Macaca mulatta: one gene and its partner. The protein of the gene in region 1 purifies or fractionates together with the protein of each later gene. This does not show direct contact. Links are inferred from orthologs where the notes say so. Each region holds a gene or a part of one and is shown in the gene's direction. Other genes may lie near its edges.

The links. The genes of interacting proteins can lie anywhere in the genome.
Region 2: the proteins of MALT1 (region 1) and CSNK1A1 purify together in Homo sapiens (affinity purification with western blotting; 3 studies listed by BioGRID and IntAct, with this or other methods). This does not show direct contact. The link is inferred for Macaca mulatta from reciprocal best matches to the Homo sapiens genes MALT1 and CSNK1A1.

What each region holds. Positions count from the first base shown.
Region 1 is NC_133423.1:22,322,937-22,326,436, reverse strand, and holds part of MALT1 (mucosa-associated lymphoid tissue lymphoma translocation protein 1), read left to right. Parts: intron 1-3,106; coding exon 3,107-3,273; intron 3,274-3,500. UniProt on the Homo sapiens protein: Protease that enhances BCL10-induced activation: acts via formation of CBM complexes that channel adaptive and innate immune signaling downstream of CARD domain-containing proteins (CARD9, CARD11 and CARD14) to activate NF-kappa-B and MAP kinase p38 pathways which stimulate expression of genes encoding pro-inflammatory cytokines and chemokines.
Region 2 is NC_133411.1:158,512,786-158,516,752, reverse strand, and holds the start of CSNK1A1 (casein kinase I), read left to right. Parts: upstream 1-1,167; 5' UTR 1,168-1,654; coding exon 1,655-1,777; intron 1,778-2,447; coding exon 2,448-2,554; intron 2,555-3,967.

The sequences.
Region 1 (3,500 bases):
CCGGAAAAGCTAAAATTGTTTCAGAAATAAGCATAGTTAAGAAATTAGCTTTAATATTATTTTAATATCCCCATATTCTTATTGCATAGTAAGAGCTAACCTTTATTGAATGTCTGTTACCTGTCAAGCACTGTATTAAACACTTCTTACATGGATTAGCTATTTAATTCTAACAACTCTATGAGGTAGATAATGTTACTAATGAAATTAATTTGATCGTATACATTTTTTCCATATGAAATAATTAACATCGTTGAATTATAAATCTTGGATGACAGTATAAATGGTATGGTAGCATCTTAATAAGACTACTCAAAATGAATGAGGATTAATATTTCAAGCAATAAAATAGCTTGCTAACCTTGATTCTGTCACACCCCAGGACTATTATGTTTCACCCCTTGCATCTATTCAGGCTTTCAGCCTTGACAGTTATGATTGAAATTCATTCAGTAATCTTTCATTTATGCATAATTAATATGGACAAGACAGAATTTTAGGTATTGAGGGATTTTATGTCTGTGTGTGTGTGTATACACACACATGTATGTTTAATATGCTGGGGTTTCTGTTTTCAAGGAGTTTACTATAATCTAGTTGGATAAAGAAGCTTTTCTTCATGAGCATGAAGAAAAGCTCACAGTTCTGAGGTTAAATTATGTGAGATAAAACATGAAACAAGTCTGCACAAGACTGCTTAAGGCCCAAATCCAGGCTGCTACTTGTTTCATATAACCCATGATTTAAGACTGGTTTTTGTGTTTTACGAATTGTAAAACAAAACAAACAACAACAAAGAAGAATGTGTGATAGAGACTTTATGGCCCAGAATATCTAAAGTATGTACTCACTGGCCATTTAGAAAAACAGTTGTCTATAGAATTAGTGCAATTAGAAGACTGTGTGTATAAAGTGTGTTTGGTGGACTGGTGTGGTCTAGGAGGACCTTATAGAGAAGCTAGAGTTAATATGGGACTGTAATTGAAATTGGCAGGAAAAGGAGCAGGATCTGCAAAGATGGATGAGGTATGAATTCTATAGTATATCACGCAGATTATCTGAACACTTTGGTTGGCTGCTGTTGGTTATGTTTCTTTGGGAAAGTTTTTGTGTCATTGATTGCTTGGTTTTTACTTTATTCTTTTGTCTCCCCTTGCATGTTTCATACTTGTATTTTCCCCTTCTATAACATGATTACAATTCATATATTGTTCCATTCTTTGTGGCCTTCTATGATCTGATCTTAACCTATCTTTCTAATCTCGTATACCACTGCGGCACACGATAACATGGAAAAGGAAATTGTATATGTATGTTAAATACTGGTATTTTTAAAAGAATAGTTTTAACAAAAGGACAGTAAGACACTCTTTAAAGGAAGGGTTAGCAAACTATTTCCATAGAGGACCCAGTGGTAAATATTTTTGGCTTTGCAGCCAGGTATTCAGCTCTGCTGTTGTATCAGGAGAGCTGCCATAGACATTTGTAAATATGTGAATGAATGAGTGTAGCTGTGCTCCAATAAAACTTTATTTACGGATATCAGGTAGCTGAACACATTTGGCCCACAGGCCATGGTCCCTGCAGTAGGATATTTCTAGGTACTTAGAAGTACTTTGGTTTCTTTTTTCTTTTTTTTTAAGAGAGTCTCGATCTGTCGCCCAGGCTGGAGTGCAGTGGCACGATCTCAGCTCACTGCAATCTCCACCTCCTGGGTTCAAGCGATTCTTGTGCCTCCTGAGTAGCTGGGACTACAGGCGTGCGCCACCAGACACCAGCTAACTTTTGTATTTTTAGTAGAGACGGGATTTCACCATGTTGGCCAGGCTGATCTCAAACTCCTGGCTTGATGAGATCCGCCTGCCTTGGCCTCCCAAAGTGCTGGGATTACAGGTGTGAGCCACCATGCCCAGCCTAAGTACTTTGAATGTCAATAGTACTGGTTCTCTTTCTAAATCTACTTTTTAAAAATTATCAAAAGAGCCAGGAGTGGTGGCTCCAGCACTTTGGGAGGCAGAGGCAGTATTATCGCTTGAGCCCAGGAGTTCGAAACAAGCCTGGGCAACATAGCAAGACACCATCTCTATTAAAAAAAAAAAAAACTATCAAAAAATAAATACACATAAAAAATCAACCGTACAAAAGGGATTATAGTGAAAAGTAGATCATCCAGCCATGAGCTCTACTCTCTTACCCTCTCTGAGGCAACCATGGCTATGAGTTTCTTAGATACCTTTTCAAAGTTTACTCTCCATGTATAAGAACACACACAAAGGATCTTGGTAATAGCAAACACTGTTCTGTATCTTCCTTTTTTTGTATGAATATACACACAGACATACTATCTTGTTAACGCAAATAGTGTAAAATATACAGTTGTTTATGTTAATTCCTTCATTTCTCAGTATGTCTTGAAGACCTATGCCTTTACCTCAGGCTCAGTTTTTTTTTACTGAATTAACAGTATTTCATTTGATATGCATGCCCTACTGTATTTGAACTAGTAATTAAGGATATTTTAAATGTTTTTCCATTGCTAACCTTGTAACATTGATTGTTCTGTTTAGTGTCATTTTTGAGACATTAGCCTGTCTTCCTTTCAATTCAGAGTACTACCAACACCATTTGTATACATGCATGTGCCTATGATTTAAGATATTTTGGCTCCCTAATGGAATGAGTGCATATTTCTTTCACTCAGGAGGCAGCAAAATGTAGCCTACTGGGGCTTCATTTGGGGTCACTTTGTATTTCACCATCTTTGAAGAAGGAGTAAGGAAATTTTTCTGGCCTTCCTATTCCCCATTCCTAAATTAAAGGCAAAAATCCTTTAAGTATCAGGGCTCAATTTCTCTCACATCCTGTTTCTAGGTTTCTCATTCTCCTGATTTAATAATCATGGGAGCTGAGTGGGAGAAGGGAATAAAGAGGGATTCCCCATGAGGAAAGAGGAGGAAAGGATACTTGCATTCATTATGTGAAAGTTTGTCACCACCCACCCACTCCCTTGTGATTTATTCCGTACAGCACCACCGCGGTCCAGATGTATAGCAGGTGTAGCATGTGGAAGAAAGCTGTTGACTTGAATTCTTTCTGTTGCTTTCAGTTGCCTAGACCTGGAGCAGTGTTCTCTTAAGGTGCTGGAGCCTGAAGGAAGCCCCAGCTTGTGTCTGCTGAAGTTAATGGGTGAAAAAGGTTGCACAGTCACAGAATTGAGTGATTTCCTGCAGGCTATGGAGCACACTGAAGTTCTTCAGCTTCTCAGCCCCCCAGGTAGGTTTGGTTCTTAGGAGTTCGTGGAGCCAAACTTAGAAGAAAATCTCTCTTTTTGACCAGGTGAATGGTGTGAAGTATTTTTGGAAAATGTAAATGTGTAGGGCCTTGTTTGCTTTCCCAGGTTGAGACTAAAGAGCGCATAAAAAGCAAATGCAGCGCATGAATATTGGTTGGGTTGTGGTTGAAGAAACCAGCTACATGAGACATTTTTGAGATAGTTGGAA
Region 2 (3,967 bases), on another chromosome or scaffold:
CAGGCTGGTCTCGAACAACTGACCTCAAGTCATCTGCCCGCCCCGGCCTCCCAAAGTGGTGGGATTACAGGCGTGAGCCACTGCGCCCGGCCCTCATTTCTATTTTAATTAAATTTTATTTAGGATAGGCTTAGCTTAAATGTTTACGACTGAGGTCTGACTTAAGATGATAGCATAAACCATGGAGCTTTCTTTTGTGAACATTACTATTACTCAACCCAATTTTCCCAGGTCAAATTTTGTAATACAAAATGTGGTCAAGATTTGATTCTCTGATCGATTTTTAGTAAAAAAGAAAAAAATTTCCGTGTAGCTTTAAATGTTGTCAATTAAATTTTGTAATAGTTACCTCTACTCTGTTCAGGTTAATACTGCGGTTTTCAACATGACCAACATACGATTCTTTGTTGTTGTTTTGGTGGGGTTGGGGGGCATAACAGTTTTTTCACTCTTGTTAAATTAATTTTCTGTTGATTCCATCTATCCCTAATCTTCACTATGAACAAGATACTGGGTTTTCTTCTGAAGATCAAAAGTGGTAGTGAGGCAATAATGCAAAGACGTAGGACGGCAGGGGGATTCCGGCTTCTTTCTTTTTTCCCCTCCTGTGGAAAGAGGGTCTATAACACTCCGTAGTAGAGAAGAAAATTCTAATTATGAAGGGTAATTAGCTAGGTTTTGCTATAACCGAGAGCCCTGAACGATTCCTCAACGCGGGCTGCTTTTCTCTTCCTCTCCACCAGAGGCGATAGCCTCTTTCCAAACAGAAACTGGGTTGGAATAGGCCGGTCCTGGGGAGCGGCCAGAAGAAAGATCAAAGGTTAAAAACCGCCTCAAAGAGCAAAGGTCAATACCCAACTCCTAAGGAGGCCTGACACGAAACATGAAGGTGACTCCTCCCAACATCGAGGCCTGGGGCCACTCAGCCTTCCAGAGACCCTGCGGGTCCGAGGCGAGTAACAGGTAACACCAGCTGAGCCGCCGCCGACCGGAAGTGGAAGAAAGCCCGGGGCGGGGTGAGGCAGGCCGCGGCACGCCTGCGCAGTCAGCAGGAGTTGCAGCGCTCATGCGCTACTGGGCGGTGACAGGGTGACGCTCGGAGCGTGGGCCGCGACTCTCACGGATCCGGTTCCGCCCTCTCGCTGCCGATCCTTCGGAGCGAGCGCCCCAGATCCCTTTCCCAGAGTGCTCTGCGCCGTGAAGAAGCGGCTCCCGGGGACTGGGGGCATTTTGTGTTGGCTGGAGCTGGAGTAACAAGATGGCGGCGTCGGCGGAGTGACAGGGGTCCCTCAGGGCCGGAGCCGGCGGCAGTGGTGGTAGCTGTATCGCCGCCCTAGCTCACCGCGCCCCTTTTCCAGCCCGCGACGTCGCCGCGCAAGCGAGGCAGCGGCGGCCGCCGAGAAACAAGTGGCCCAGCCTGGTAACCGCGAGAAGCCCTTCACAAACTGCGGCCTGGCAAAAAGAAACCTGACCGAGCGGCGGTGATCAGGTTCCGCTCGGCTGATTCTGGGCCCCGAACGCCGGTAAAGGCCTCCGTGTTCTGTTTCCTGCCGCCTTCCTCCGTAGCCTTGCCCAGTGTAGGAGCCCCAGAGGCCTCCGTCGTCTTCCCAGAGGTGTCGGGGCTTGGCCCCAGACTCCATCTTCGTCTCTCAGGATGGCGAGTAGCAGCGGCTCTAAGGCCGAATTCATTGTCGGAGGGAAATATAAACTGGTACGGAAGATCGGGTCTGGCTCCTTCGGGGACATCTATCTGGCGATCAACATCACCAACGGCGAGGTAATCACCTGGGGTGGGGTTCACGATAACGCTGCGCTTTTCCTCATTCCCCCCACCACCACCGCGCACCCCCAAAGTGCTCGGGCCTTTCCTCACCGCACGCACTCGCCAGGGAGTCCAGGGAGCTAGTTTTCCTGGCTTGCGATCCTCGCCCGCTCTCTCCCTAAAAGGGTCAAGAACCCGATAGAAAGGTTGGGGGAACTAGTTTCCCAGCTTGTTAAACACGTCCCATAAATGTCCCTTCGTCGAGCTGTTTTTTTTTTAACCGACTTTTAAGGTGGAAACGGCAAAATCCTCTTTCTGTGATTCCCATGCTTTGCTTTGCTTTTCTTTTATTTAATTTTTAATCCTACTGGGCCTCTTGTTCCAATTAGAACAGTTTCCGATTGCCTAGTTCCTTAAAAACCTCTCACTACGTTCAGAGGTTGCTTCTTTTTTCTGGATGAATCATTTTCCTGCACTTTAGAGGACGTACGATTTCGTCACTACCCCCTGAAGAGGCCTTTGAGGCTGGTTGCCTCGTTTTATAATTACAGAGAGCTTTCTCTTTCCAGCTTTTCACTTCTTCCTTGTAGTCGCGACTTGGAGTTTTGCTAATGTCTCTCTCCTTTCCTAAATGACACTGAATCCGTAGGGATGTTGATGCCATCATCCCCTCTTTCCCCTGCAGGAAGTGGCAGTGAAGCTAGAATCTCAGAAGGCCAGGCATCCCCAGTTGCTGTACGAGAGCAAGCTCTATAAGATTCTTCAAGGTGGGGTTGGCATCCCCCACATACGGTAAGAACCCCGTGCATGTAGGCGATCCGCTGAGGGAAGCACGGAATGGGGAAGTGGGTAGAGGCAGGTAATGAGACCAGCTGAATCCGGGTCTTGTTTTAGTTACCTGGGTTCCTTGTAGCTGGTGCCTTCCTGTAAGTCATCGCAATCACTGAGTAAATTTCAATTTGCCAACTTATTTCATTGTATTACACTGCTCCATTTCGCTTCCGTCATTCTCTTCCCGAGGCTTTCGTTTGCAGTTAGGCGTGCGGGTCATCTTTGATCCCTACGCGGAAGGGTTGGCTGCTGCCTTTTTTACGGCGGCACGTCTGATGTTCTTAGGTTTGTCCAGTGAAGTGGATTTGAAGGTGCTGAAGCGACCCGGCAGTGTCAGTTCGAGTTGCTATTGGAGCTGGCTTGGGAAATGGCTGCTCTTTTGTTGTGTTTTTGTTCCAACATGTCTTCCTCCTCCGCTTAGAAAATGGCGGAACGACGTGACTCAACCCCATATTCCTGCCCTTTTCTCAGCTTGGGTTCACAAATTATGCTTCCTTGATTCCTCCTTTAGCAGCCCCGAGTGGATTAAACCTTTGAAAAGCCAAGAATAAAGCTGCAGGAGGCGGTGTGGGGGTTCGAGGAAGGAGATGGCATAGTGACAATGTTTGTGATCTCTGCAGCAGATGTGACATGAAATTGTTGAATTATACTATGTAAAATCCTTTGTGGTTCTTTTAAAAGTGTTAATTACGCTTTCCTTTCGTGAATGGTCATATTTGGCACATTTCAGTCGGGACTAAATTTGTATAGGTAATGGCAAAGGCAGTTTGAGCAGCACCAACTATGTTAAAATTTACTCAAATCAATTGTATTAAAAGAAATCTTAATCACTTAGCCACACTTTGATAAGTAATTTTAACCTGTTGAGTTTGGCAGTAAATCTTAATATCAGAGAAATTGCGGCCTTTGTTGGTGTGGAATATTGGTGAGTGCAAATTGCAGTAACGAGGATAAAAGATGACGAGATAGAAAGACATTGTTCTGTCAAATGGTTAACTTTACTTTGGAGGGTTTTAGAGTAATGTTTTAACTTTTGGGATTAAAGAGCCTCTTCATGGAATGGAGACTAAAATATAGTTTAAAACCAAGCTATTTTTCAGCAACAATCTAAAATACCTTTTGCAAAAATATTCAGAATAGGTGAGAATGGTGTTTACTGTTTGCTGGAGACTCTTTTTTTTTTTTTTGAGACTGAGTTTTCGCTCTTGTCGATCAGGCTGGAGTGCAGTGAATGGCACGATCTTGGCTCACTGCAACCTCTGCCTCCTGGGTTCAAGCGATTCTAGTGCCTCAGCCTCCTGAGTAGCTGGGATTACAGGCGCCCGCCACCACACCCAGCTAATTTTTGTATTTTAGTTTCACCATGTTGGCCAG